Linked DNA regions of Drosophila melanogaster. The protein of the gene in region 2 interacts with the protein of the main gene of each other region in a pairwise test. Each region holds a gene or a part of one and is shown on either strand. Other genes may lie near its edges.

Region 1 (4,500 bases), on a different chromosome or scaffold from region 2:
GGTGAAGGTGTCCAACGGTGAGAAGATAGCTGAGCCGCCAATTCCCATAGATATACCCGATCCCCGGCCGGTGCAGGAACCATCTCTATTCGACTGTGCCAGCGGAACGACGACTCCGATCACGGAGGAGAACAACGTGCTGTACGCCATTGAGCGCTCTGAAAGTTGCCATTCCCAGGGCACGCCGACGGTGAAAAAACCCATTCCCATTCGCGGAAAGGCGGCGCTGGGAATCGGGCTGGACAAGCACAGGGAGAGAGCCACGTTCCTCGAGAAGCTGCAACGGGCCGCTGTCTCTCCTGGCACAGTTTCGCAGGGTCCAGCGCCCGTTTTCTCAGCCCGCTGCGGGCAGTGCAATTTAGAATTTGACTCAGTCTCCGAACTGGAGGTGCACAACCACAATGCCCACAGGGGCAATGAACTGAACGCCGACGACGAAGCCAAAAGGCGTCAAATAATCGCCCTCTTCGAGGATGATATTTAGGTTTTACAAAGTCCTGTTTTTCATGCCGGTGGCTCAATCAAACTAGTAATCATGTTGACCACTTTGCATCTGTGTTTTTGTCGTATTGTATTTATTTATTATTTATTTATTTTATTCTGTTTCCATTAGTGATTTAGTTTTGCTTAGCGGCAATCCATGTTCATTTACAATACATTCTCGAGTACTCAAAAGTCCGTGGCTTTATATTTATATGTACTCTAAGACCAATAAAGAGATTTGCAAGACTTATTCTTAACCATAAGCCTATGCGTATATTTGCAAGCTATTCAGTACCAGGTTGGAATCTGCTACCTTCAAGTGCAGACAGTTCTTGAGCAAGCGCATCGCGTCCAGGTTGAGATCTGGATCTCGCAGAGCGAAGAGCTGGTTTAGGGTTTGCACAAGATTCTGCGGGTCTGCCAGTGCGAATATTAGACTTGTGTCACCTAGGGCTACCAGATTGGTCATTACACGCACGGCGTAGATTAGGCACAGCCGGTCGGCTGGCGATGCTAAGGTGGCTTCAAAGAAACGCACCAGGCATTCGGCCTGTTGAGCATCTAACTTGTGCTCCTGTGTCACTATTTCCAGTTGGTGCACTATGTACATGAAGTACTCGCTGGCAGGCTGGCCGTGGAGCTTCTCAGGCAGATTCTGGCCAATGTACCTTCGATCCTCGTCACTCACATGCTGCGGGCAGCGGGTGGCCACCAGGGAGAGGCAGATGGCCGCATCTTCTTGGCAGCCATTGGGCTCGATGTAGAGCCTCCACAGCTTGGGTACTATTTGCATTTGCAGCAATACGCTGCCGGCCTTGTCGCATGTGCCCAGAACGTTGGCCAGTGTCCACAGGCAACTGCGCTTGAGGCGTTCGGCCTTGCCATCAAGGTAGGTGACCATGTAGCTGCCCGCCAAAGTGACAATCTTTTCGGAGACATGGGCCTCGCCCAAGGAAAGATTACACAAGCACTCCACGGCATCTGTCTGTCGTTGAATGTGAGGTCCTGAAAGTCAAGTCAACCTTTTTATATAAAACTAAAGCTAATGAGGGTGCAGTTGGTTACCAGTTAGCTCCTTAACCAGAACCTGAATGGCGCCAGGAATAGCTGCGAATGCATTGATGTTGTCATTGCTCTGGAGGAACCCCAGCGACAAGCGGCACAGATCCTCGGAGGTGGCGTGCTTGCGACGCTTGATCCTGCTGGCCATTCCAATGACGTCCTTGGTGCCCATCTCAAGAGCCGCCACTTCCTGCTTAACCTGTCCAAGTCCAATGCGCAATGAGTCTTTCGCCTTTATGCGGCACTCAACACGGTGATCCTTGGCATATGCACGAATCTTGTTTCGCAGAAAACTTCCCTCCCCAGTTGTCGTCACAAAGTCCATTTGTTTAAATTTCATGGAATCCTTAGCAAGTGAGCAATATTCCGATAATAATAACAGATTATCGATAACTATGAAAGGTTAACAGCACTTCACTCATCAGCTGTTAAAATTGTAAACAAAAAAGGTACGCACTTGTTTGTTTATATTTTATTTGGAGTAAGTAATGCTTATTTAATTTCAGGTCAATGGTGGTAATCTGAGCCCGGAATCGATGGATAAACATATTCAGTGGCACCCAGGAACCCGATTTTTCATATGTGAATTTATTTTTATACTGGCAAAGAAGTTCGGCGAGGAGATTCATTTCCTTTTTGTGCCTTTTTAATTTAATTTTTCTATGATTTCCACGGAAAAAGTCCAGTGCTCCTTCTGTCCAAAATTATTCACCACTAGCTAGGCGAAAATGTGAAAAAACTATACGAAGATAAATGTTTGTTTTTCCAAAGAAATTTATTTCAATTTTATATTCTTCAACAGGTAAAGGATATCGATATCCGATAAGAATTTTCCCATCAAAACTTGGGCTGACCACCACAGGGCGACCCTTGCAAGTTTGCGTTTATCTCAGCTGTTAAATATGGTAAACACACCTTAGTTTCAAAAATCATCATTTTGATAAATAATTTGAATTTCGAACATCGATAATAAATCGATTTAGCATATGGCCCAGAGAATAGGGTGCCCAGTGTACTGTGCACAATGTGAAGTTTAGCTTATTATTATTTTGAATTGTTCATCAAGGCAATCGCATTAATTTTCAATTAATTGGGATGTATGAAACGGATTCCTAAATTATAAAAGATTGCTTTTCCAGCTATAAGCTATTTAGTATATACATCAGGTAAGTAATATAGTCCTTCATAAAGTTCAGCCTAATAAGTATTGTTTATTACAGGGATAATGGCGGAAATATGCCGAGTTTGTATGGATATTTCTGGTAAACTCGTTAACATATTTGACGCCAGACGAAGAACCAGAGTTTCCATTGCCGAGATGATCGCGCAGTGCACCGGATTCGAGGTCAAACGTGGCGATTTGTTTTCGGAAATGATATGCCCACAGTGCTATGAGGACGTAAAGAGCGCGTATGGGATAAGGCAAACTTGTGAGGAAAGCCACCAGTTCTACTGCCGAGTTCGCGATGAAGGCATCGAGGATGCTTTATGCGCCTTGCTCGAAGAAGAAGACTGGGAGATTTCGGAAGACGAAGATGCGCGGATTGATTCTGCATCCGCTGCTGATGACGATGGGAAAAGCGACAGCAAGAAGGTAGCATTCGAATGTCGAGAATGCCACAAGAAATACCAGCGAAAGGGAACTTTTCTGAGGCACATGCGAACACACATGGACGGACAATCCTTCCCATGCCCCTACTGCAAGCGGAACTTTAGACTTAGAGTCACTCTCAAGGCGCACATGAAGACCCACAATGCAGCGAAACCCTACGAGTGTTCCCACTGCGCCAAGACCTTTGCGCAGCAGTCCACTCTGCAGTCGCATGAGCGAACTCACACTGGCGAACGACCATTCAAGTGTTCACAGTGCTCAAAAACCTTTATTAAATCATCCGATCTCCGGCGTCACATCCGCACACATGGCAGCGAGAGACCGTTCAAGTGCTCCAAGTGCACGAAAACATTTACGAGGAAGTTTCACCTTGATAACCATTTCCGTTCTCACACTGGTGAACGACCATTCAAGTGTTCCCACTGCCCCAAGGCCTTCGCTATGAAGCAGCACCTCAAGCAGCACAGCCGCCTGCACTTACCAGATCGTCCATTTCGCTGCTCCCACTGTCCCAAGACTTTTCGGCTGAGCAGCACTCTCAAGGAGCACAAGCTCGTACACAACGCTGAAAGAACATTTAAGTGTCCTCACTGTGCCAGTTTCTATAAGCAGAGAAAAACACTTGCTAGACATATCCTCGAGATACACAAGTGACCACTACTTTAAAAACACTTGGAAGACATATCTTCCATGTGCACTACTTTAAAATGGACAAAAATGATTTTGCTAGATGATAAAATAAGCTAACATATTCATAGGTATTGTAAGAATAAGGCATAAAATTGGTTGGTAATGAATATGCCTATTTTGATATGTTTTATGATGGAATAAAATGTTATTTATATTTGATTGAACCAAAACAAAATTAATTAATCGACTCCCTCTCACGCTGCCAACACTGGCCATTTCTCGCATATCCAACTACAGATGATGATCAGCTGTTTGTTGTTTATGTGGGAGCGGCCTGAGAAATTGTAACAAAAAAATTTCGGAAAAGCTGAAAAAATGAACAATGATAATCCGAATATAGTTTTCAATCCCCTGATAAGCTCCATCCAAAAAGTAGTGCTCTATGAGACACGAGCGGTAAGAAATCACCTCCAGCTGACCTTTTTTTGACTAATCACATATATCGCCATAATTTCAGCGCCTCTATTTGGTGGGCAGCAACAATCGGGAGACTCGGTTTCGCCTCCTGACCATAGACCGACTTGCCCACAACCGGCTGAGTATCGAGGAGAATGCCAACGAGTTTAACAGCCTGGAGATCCGACGTTTTGTCGCTTCCCTTTCGGGTTCGCCCAAGGTGACGTCCGCTTATGGCGTCCTTGGATTTGTGCGCT
Region 2 (9,809 bases):
ATTAAAATTAATTTGGATCAATTTGGTTGGCTGCCAAATTGTTGACAATGAAATATAACGATCTCCACCAAGGTACCTCGCATCCTGGTAAAGCCATCAAAGTCCGAGTGCCTTGCGTTTACAACTTATTTATTTTGTAGAATTAAAAAGAGGCTTAAACATACAAAATCGTAGGCTTCATTATGGGCTTGTGCTGTCTTGGGCTAAACTACCTCTATATAGAGTATAGCGATCCTAAGTGGTTGGCACAAATCATTTCAAAACTATTTGCTGTAAGCAGTTGACTAAAAGGAGGAAGACATTTGCACAGTTAAATGGTTACTCAAGACCCGGAAAACCCGGCAAAATCTTCCTCTAACTGGGACATTGGTCTTGGCTATATAGTATGACTAACGGCTAGGGCTTAAATAAATATTTTGGCAATTTTTGAAATTTGGGTTTGGTTAACTATAGGTTACTTTAGTGCGTAGCTTAAGCCATAAGTCAAAGCTAGCTTAGTTATTCGATGATCGCTCTGGCAGACCAGTGCGCGTGATTACGCTGGGGGTCAGTTCAGTGTTGGAGCTGCGACTGCTTTCGATGGTGGGTACTCTATAAGGTATGATTATTATTGAGGAGTCCGACAGGGTAGCGAAAAGTATCTTTAACTTACGGCTGAACTATCTGACGGTTTATCGGCACCGTGCCGGGCAGATGGGGCGATTGACTCTGTGGCGTTGATTGCTGACTGTAAGGAGAATGGCTCTCGCCGGTCACGTGATGACGGGCGGACATGTTGAGCGTTCCGTCGGGGGTGGGCGGCGCCGTCGCATTCAGCGAAATGGACACCACCCGTTGCCCACCCGCTTGACCCGTCGTCGACATGTCGTGCAGCTCCGGACTGGAATTCTGCTGGCTATTAAGCTGGCTATTCAGCATGCTAACTGGCACTTGGGAAGGATACAGCGGACTGTTGGCCATCAGGTTGACTCCCTGCGACATGCCTGGTTGGGAATTGGGATTAGTTTATTGCATACTGTAATCCCTGGCAGGTGTACTCACTCGGCAGCGGTGCTCGGTGCATGGGTGCTCCTCCGTTGTTCTTAGGCTTCCGTTTGCGCTTCTGGATGCCCTCCTTCTTCATCGACAGCGGTCGGTTCATGTTGTGCAGCTTGTAGTACAGTCCGCAGGCATTGCACACCGGATTGCCCTCGTTGTTGCGACGCCACAGGGTCGTCGAGTTGGTCTGACAGTTGGCGCAGGTGACCCCGTTGCGCCGGTTGTTGGGGGCGGCGGCGGCCTTGGGCTTCGCCTGCCTCTGGGTTATACGGGGCGCCATCCGCATAAAGGCCGGGCAATTGGGACAGAAGTACTCGCTACCCTTCCGCAAGAACGGCCCATGGCAGTTCTCGCACTTTAGCTCGTGGTTGGGCGACGATGTGGACGAGGCGGTCACCAGACTTCCATCGTACTGCCCTATGCTGCTGGCGGGCGGCCAGTGGGAGGTGCTCATATTGCCGCTCCCGTATTCATCAATAACCTGCGGATGGAAGTTGCTCTGTGCAGCATGCGGGAGAACAGTTAGTATGTACCGCCTCAAGAACCAGTAACTTAAATTATACTTACAAATTGAACACTCTGGTACTCCGGCGGGGCGGGAGATGCCCATAAAGGCTCGATGCCGTTGCCGCCCTCAAAAGATATCGTCTGAAAAGTAGCCGGTCCAGTCTGGCGCAGCAGTCCAGTCTGATTTAGGCCAGACTCGGACTTGGCCAAGAATTGACCGGTGCCCGGAACACTGTAAATAGTGTTTCCCTGCTGAAGCGTTGCCGCATAGCTATTGCTACTGAAGCTGGAGCTGGGCGGGAAGGGGGCATATGCGTTGCCTAGGTCGGCGTAGGTCTTGGACTCGTTGGCATGCACACTGCCATCCACCACGGGTACATCGTAGTACATATTCGAGGCGGATGTCTCCGGTCCGGCGGTGGTGAAGCGTACATCCTCCGTAACGAAGCGCACGGTTCCACCATGCGAACTGGTGGCAATGTGAACCGTCTGGGCCGCCGCCGATGCTGCAGCTGCCGCCTGGTGTTGGTGGTGTTGCTGCTGATGCTGCTGCTGCTGGTGCTGCTGCTGCTGTTGGTGGTGATGCTGCAGTGCCTCCGCCTCGCTGCTGATCACTATGGTCTCGCCGTAGCTAGCTCCGTTGGGTGTGGGACATTGCTGTTGCTGCTGATGCTGGTGTTGCTGCAGTTGCTGCTGCTGTTGTTGCGACTCCCCCGTCGCCTCTCCCTTCTCGAGTGTTTCGATTTTGATCGCGGCCACATCGTCACCGTTGCAGATAATAGGATAGGCGAAGATGGTGCCCGGCGGAGCTCCGGCAGCAGCTCCCACCTGTTCCGTCACCTCTGCGTTGCGTGGCGCCATCTGCACGTAGTGAGTGGCTCCGGGAGATTGGTGTGCACTGCGCTGGTACTCGATGTGGCTATCCGAAGCAGATCCTGAGCTCGCGTTGCTGGCGTTTGTGCTCGGTTCTCCTTCACGAGCTTCGTTTAATTCACTGAAATGTTGTTAATAACACTGTTAAATAACAATGGTAAATTGTAACTATCGATTGCCATTTGCATTAGATGATTGTGTTTAAAAATGAAATTTGTGAATGCTTATGTTCTTAGGAAAAGAAGGTCTCCAGAGGTTACTTACAGTGTGCCGGCTGTGGTGAGAATACGGCGCTGGTTGCGTGGCACCACCACGTACTGCTCCTCCGGTTCGCTGACGCCCGCTTGGCCCGTCTGCACCACCACGCCCACCGATGTTGCGGCTTGCTGTTGGTGTTGTTGCTGCTGCTCCTGCTGCTCATCCAGATTGTTGGCCGTCTGCTGGGCCAACTGATCGGCGCCGTTGCTGGACTCGAGTTTGATTTTGTCCAGCAGTTGAAGCTGCTGCTTGGTTAGAGCCTGATGCTGTTGCTGTTGCAATTGTTGCTGTTGCTGTTGCTGTTGCTGTTGCTGCTGCTGCTGCTGCGTTGTCTGCTGTTCCATCTGCAATGAGCAAGCGACAAGTGTTGAATGCCATGTTTCGCCCGGCTCGTCTCAAAAGTGTGGCTCCAGTTCCGGCCGTTGCAGTGCGAACTGCCCGCCTCGGTTTCCGCCACAAAAGTCAACAAGACGCAAGCCCAACCAAGACCGCTGAGACGGACTTCAAAGACACCGCCCGCGCTCGACTCACAGCTCAATTTGTCGCCTACAACCGTAAAGTACCAGAAACTGAGCCGAACGGAGACGGGCTTGGAGGCGACCCCTCTCCTTTCTACCACTCAGTTGCTCAGTGTCAACATTGTCGAACACATTTTTCACTTTTATTCCATTTCATTTCCACCAGCAGAAGTATTTGCTCACAGAACCCTAAACTCAGAGCGGTGCCTTGGTTTCGTTTTCATTTTTCTTGTGTATTCGTGGTTTTTTTTTTTTTTTTTTTTGGTTTAGTTTGGCTTTTGGCGGAAATTAAACTTGGCCATAAAATCGCTTTGCTTTCCCCGCCATACGTCAGTCGCTTTTGGGTTTATGACCTCATTCCGTTGGGGGTGGCACTTCCACTTCCACTCCAAAGCCCCATACCCATCCCCATCCCCATTCCCATCCTCGAGCTTGTGTCAACACATTCGATCGTCACTGTCACCTGATTCACGATGCGGCCAGGTTGAAATTTACCGCCAGTCCGCTCATGACAAGTGCCATATAGCTCAGAGGCTTTCAGGTGGTTTCCACCTTTACCATGGCTATAAATATACCAAAAAATGTGTGTGCTTATGTGTAACCATCACCACCGTCAATTGAGGAAATCCACAGCAACACTAAAGGAAAATTTTTGTGGCCATTGAAATATATTGCAAAGATAATTGCTTTTAACTGAGATATAACCATATACTTGTACAGGTGTTTTTTTTTTCCGAAAATAATCACCACGCTGAATTGATTTAATACATTCCATAAAAATCCCCACTCTCCCTTTATATGAAAAAACTAATACTTTATCTTCCATTTAATGAAAATTGATTCACTTTCGCAGAACTTTAGGTTGACGTGCCACAAATGATTGATACATTTTTTGCGTGGACACAAGCCAAGTTCAATGATGATTCAGTTGGTGACAAGCCGTAAAAATGAAAAATCTAACGCTTACCAAGGTACAAAGTTTAATTACTTATGTGGAAGGCATATAAATGGGGGACGAAAGAGTTCCATGGAAACTGATTGCATTCCGCCGGCGGTGATGACCGTGCCAAGTTTTCAACGTCTTGGCCAAAGTTCAAAGAATTCCCTGGATGGAAAGGGTGCGAGATAATGTGGTGCAAACGTCACTTCAGACAATCGTCTGCCCGAAATGCAGATAAACCCGACTTTGAGTGTGTGTATATAGTAGTAGTACGATAGGTAGGCCCCCATGCACGTGCCATGTACCGCGAAAAAGTTAAGATACTACGGCCGAACGATACGGACAATATCTTATCCGGGCGCTATCAATGTACATAATCAGCTGCTGCTGCTGCTGCTGGGACTGAGAGGTCATGGTTGGTATCCCCCAACTGCCCGCACCCACTCTCAGTTGCGGCTACGTCATCAATAGGGACAGATATATCCAAGAATTACAAAAGTTGTGCAAGCGATGTTTGTCACCCGAGAATGGCAATGGCATGCGCTATTTGCTCGGCTTAGTCAAGAATCGTTGCGAGGGTGTGGAGTCCGCTGAACTTATGAATGAAATCTGCCCAGTCACACCCACAACCATACACACACACACACACACGTACATTTCGTACTTTATCTATATAAACAAAAGATATTGACTATATAATCGCACCTCGTTTCGCTTTCGTTGAGCTTGGGTTCGTGGTTGAGCAAATTTCAAAGGCAGCTCTGACCAAACATTTTAAGGCATTTAGAACTGAATAGAACTATAAAACTTGAATATAATGCAGTTGTGATGAATGCTATTTTTGTTAAAATTCTAAATTTCTCGAGGAAATTCTTTGCCAGTTTTACTTTTTATTTTAGACTTATAAAAAAATATGAACAATTTCTTGGGTAAGACTGCTTAAAGGCTAAAGATGTGAGAGCACTTTCAAAATATCTATATAATTAACAAAAGAATGGGAAGTAAATAAATGTACCCATTTTTGGATATACATTTATACCCTTTATATCTGCCCTCGTTAGAAGATCCTTCGATTAATTAAACTTCACTGCAGTTGGCTAATGAAAGTGAGATAAGACTCTCGACTGCCAGCTGCATTTACAGCTCTATTAAAGGGCCATCAATCGCAACCTTCGCCCTCTCTCCTATCAGCCATCATCCACTGTCAACTGGCGACGCGTGTCTAATAAAAGTATCTGCAACTGGAACTGCAACTATCGATGCCGCCATTGAGCAACTGTTAAGGGACTGTTCTTCCATTGGTCGAAAGGACACTTCCGGCAGGATAAAAAGTACCCCCAGATGAGCCAAGGGTTGGCATTCATTCACAAAACCAACCCCAAGCCCATGAAGGATACGCTAGAGACAGGGATAAGGAGCAGGACCAAAGCGAGGTGATAAGATTGACATAAATTTCACATTATCCGTGGCCAGCAAAAAATGGGTAAAAACAGTCCCTTTTCATGAATGAAGAGGAGCGAGCAGTTGAAAGTCGGCTGCGTGTTTCAAATTTTATTTTTGTCAAAGGTATTTTGACGCCACCTTCGATCGCAGCTGAATTTGGACCTCATAAAGATTAGCCATCTTTCCACATTTAACTTGCTTTCTTGTTGCCCCGTTTTCGTACCCATTCTCGTTTTCTTAATGGTTTCGGTTCGTTTCGGTTCGGTTTTTCTTCCAAGAGCAGACACCAAAATAAGTGTCGCAGTTTGCCGCTGCATCCCAGATGACTCATTCATTATAAATCAATTTGTCTTATCTTATTTCCCTGGCGCTAGAACTGAAAAAAATCCATATCGCTGCCGTTTGCGGGCTAAAATCATTTTCTGGCTCGGTACACCGAAGGATGTAAAATCTATATGGCTATTCGAGCTGTAAATACCTTTGAAAGCTCTTTATACTCCGTTAATTAATAAATTAATATTTATTCGTGCCTTGCGACTGATCTATAAACTTGAACTATCTGCTTTTAATGACCCTATATGGCCTGTCTATTTAGCTTAATGAACTTGTGTGAGAAAACGTTAAAAACTTTTATGATCTTTCAACAAAGTAGAAATGATAGATAGGCTTATAGAGATCTCGTAAATGAGCATCAAAAAGGTATTTAAATGTTTTTAATAGAGTTCACGTATAGTTGCTTTAAGCGGTCAGGTTGATATTCTCCATTCCGATATGGATTTTAAACGGAATTGGTTTTGAAAAGAAAATACCGACTTGGCAAACTTAATATATAATACCCAAAAATTACGCTGACTATTTTTGAATAATTATAAGTTTATTTTACCCACCTTCAGCTGCATGTTTACACTCGGTGAGATAGTTTTGCAGACCATCAAATTGAAGTTACGCCGCTTCTTTGCGTTTCTTCCAGCGTTTTATCTAAGATTGGTTTTTATCACTTGATTTCAGTTCTGTTGTGTTTTCAAAAATTTATCACAAGCACGGCTTGTCCAGGTGTTTGGTTCACTTCTCCTATCAATCTGGGCGCCCGAAAAAGTGCCGCGCAAAGTGAGCAAGTGGGGAAAATTGGCGAAAATTGACGAAAATTGGTAACTTGGGAAAGTAGGAACTTTGGAGCTTTGGGGGCGATCTAATGCTGTCACCCGTGGGGCGATTGTGGTTGTGGCCCGCGCGCAACCTTTGCCAGTTAGCAGTGATACGAAGTGCTATTTTTTCGAGACCAACTGGGCTCTGGTGGTGGCACTGGTCTCCGGTCTATGGGCTCGATACACTAAACACTGAGCACTCTGAGCACCAAGCACCTCACTTGCGATGACAACAACGACGGCGACGCAATGCGGTGCCTGCGGCGCGTTTGCCGCCCAATTAGCTACCCACACCGATGAAGATCCAGCGCCTCTGCGGTTGGGCGGCCTCACACCTGTGTGGGTGCGTGGTCCTGTCGGTGTGGCAGCGTTATGATTTATTCTGTACCGCCTCGCCTGGTATTGGTTATCTTATCGACACACATGCGATAAGATACGCAACGAGTGTTGGTGCCACGGTTGCGATAAGTATCCGTGAGATACAAATTGCGCCTGCGCGCTCGGCCGATTTTCCAACACACCTATGTTACACCAATGTTCCGAGGTTTCCGAAGAGTGGCGTCAAGAGGCCCACCAGCCGGCACAGTTCAGCCAGCACCACATTTGATTCCATTTCCACCCTTCAGCGCTCCTCACCCTCGCCCCCTGCTATTTGTCAATTGTGCAATTTAGTCTAGCGCATTTTCTAATTGCACTCATAAAACACTTTTCTGGCAAACTAATAAACTCGAGCAACGTTAGTCAACGTCAACAGAATATCATCGGATCGGGCTTGGGCCTGGAAAGTGGGACTGGGCATGGGCATGGGCACGGAAACTTTATATGACCCCACGAACAGTCGCCCGAATGTGGGCCGCTTTGACAGCTCGACTGCTCGGTTGTTGCGCTCCACTTCCACTTCTCCAGTTCTTCTAGTTCTCCACACTTCACAATCCACTCTCGAGTGTTGTAACTAATAAACACCGCCGGAGGAGGCGGAGGTGGAGGGCAGGAGCACACGTGGTCGAGGATCAGGTGCGGCGCATATATTGCAAAACCCCTGAATTGTCACCAGCCAGGAAAAGATTGAGTTTGAAGTGGTTGGGTGATTGGAGTGCTTGGTCAGAAATCTGATATATTTTTCAACCTGTCAATTACAGATACTTTGTAAGCAGAGATGTATGTGTAGATAAATATTGTAAACATATCTTTACTATATATAGGGATGTAGTAGCTAAATAGTACATTTTATAATAAAATGTATATGAAAACCATGACTTAAATTCTAAAAAATTCAATCTAGGCTTATATGCTTAATGCTAAGCCCCTATGGCAATCCGTACCAACTCCTTGCTTTCTTTTCTTCGAAGAGCTGCAATCTGTAAGTTAGCCACATATCTTGGCCACCCAGCCAAGTTGGCCCAGCGAATCATAAATTGTTTATAGTTAAAGTCATAAAGCAAGCAGATATATGACGGCCATTAACATGCACAATCCCCTCGGAGTTGCTTATAATGCCACAATTACGGGCAACTTTCCGCTGCTCCCATGAATGGAAATCGAGTTGAGGCGATAATTTTAATTGTTGCAACGCATGCGGTGCATAAATCATGGGCAAATCTTAAGAGCAAAACCGGCAGACAAAAAGTATCTAATAGTAGCTACTGCTGCGTGTCGCGAAATATCTGTGCGGTGATTAATCACTCAAAAAGTTGACGGCTATGCCAGTTTCGATCGTTACAAATGGCGCTACACGAAATCAACATTACAGGAGATTAATGCTGAGGAGGAGGACTCCAAACTGGATACCCGGCCACAGGACTGACTCATCGAGGTGGCTCTCTTGCCACGGCAGAGCCGGGCAATTAATACCCTAATTGATGGCACCGCCGCGCCTAGCTTTAGGTGCTTTGCCGGCGAATTTACGACCCTAAGACGGAAGACTTAGGGGCGGCGAAACAGACAGAGTCTTAAGATTGCTGACCATGGCATATCGTGTACACCCGGAATCGTACACCCTTCAACTTGTCCACCTCCATGGAGTTTCAAGTGCTATGTCCGTGAAAGACCATAGAAGCGAACCAAAACCTTAAGAAACCATAGCCTAAAAGTTATCTAGCCTCAAGTGTTCTCGGCCAGTTGACAGTATCGCCGATCTTTGTCTGGAATGACGCTATGGAATTTAATTTTTATATATTCTTTATTGCGCTCTTGTTTTGGTTATAATTGTATTATTTTTCTAGCTTTCCTTTTTGGTCTTTTTCCAATTTTGTTTGGCGGCACAAACGGGTTGTTCTGATAAGGGGAAGAACTCTTTGGAAATTAAACGTGCCAGTGGCAACAAAGGCGTGCGCCATAGTTTTAATTATAGTCGGCAGCAGGGGTGCGATCCGATTCGATCCAAAGTCCCACCCCGCATGGCTGGTTGCCCAATCCCTGCCAGCCGCAATGGCGTGGCTCAATCGAATAAAAATGGAATGGAAAGATGGAGATGCAAATGGAAGTGCCGTAATGGCTCTCCCTTTTGGGCGGCTGCACTCTGCGCTTTGCAACCGCTGGCAAATTGGGTTCAAGTAAATTCTATTAACCCGCGCCGAGGTCATAAATCATCCGGCCAAAGCACGCTAACAACATTTCGGACATGAGTTATGAAAATGGAACTGCGCACTCCGCACTGCGGGATTTCATGGTCCCAGGTGGAGGAAGAGGCACTGCCTACCAGCTGGAAGAGCAGGAGGTCCAATTCCGCAGAAGGAGCTGGCAAGGAAAAAGTTAAGCTTTCTTTGTTTACGCTCCGAAGAGTTGTCACTTGGCTAACGAATGTTCATTCGTTTATTTATGGATTGGACACTCGGACAGTGATGTATCTTTCGAGTGAGTCAGGGGAAAGTTCGGATATCAGAGAAGAAACAAGAGTTTTTGTGGAGGAGCTTGTTGAGGAGCGGTAAGTATGTTATTAAACCAATAACTTATTATTTATAACCAAAACTAATACAATTTTTATCCATATCTTACTATGATTTCAATTAACATACATTTTCGATCTAATGCATATTCCATTCCAACTGCATAGCCTCTTGCGATTGGCAGTGGTCTCTTTTTTGTGAG

Evidence for each region.
Region 1: the proteins of GATAe (region 2) and Paris interact in a two-hybrid assay, tested with the Drosophila melanogaster proteins (one large-scale study listed by BioGRID).

Annotation. Positions count from the first base shown.
Region 1 is NT_033779.5:4,461,076-4,465,575, forward strand, and holds Paris (parkin interacting substrate), read left to right. Parts: upstream 1-2,535; 5' UTR 2,536-2,711; intron 2,712-2,765; 5' UTR 2,766-2,770; coding exon 2,771-3,811; 3' UTR 3,812-4,000; downstream 4,001-4,500. Other genes in the region: CG15435 (uncharacterized protein), read left to right, coding at 1-484; CG15443 (uncharacterized protein), read right to left, coding at 749-1,488, 1,549-1,885; FIG4 phosphoinositide 5-phosphatase, read left to right, coding at 4,163-4,243, 4,305-4,500.
Region 2 is NT_033777.3:16,009,439-16,019,247, reverse strand, and holds GATAe (GATAe), read right to left. Parts: upstream 6,975-9,809; 5' UTR 6,510-6,974; coding exon 6,465-6,509; intron 3,021-6,464; coding exon 2,683-3,020; intron 2,540-2,682; coding exon 1,606-2,539; intron 1,538-1,605; coding exon 1,042-1,537; intron 984-1,041; coding exon 653-983; intron 592-652; coding exon 495-591; 3' UTR 115-494; downstream 1-114.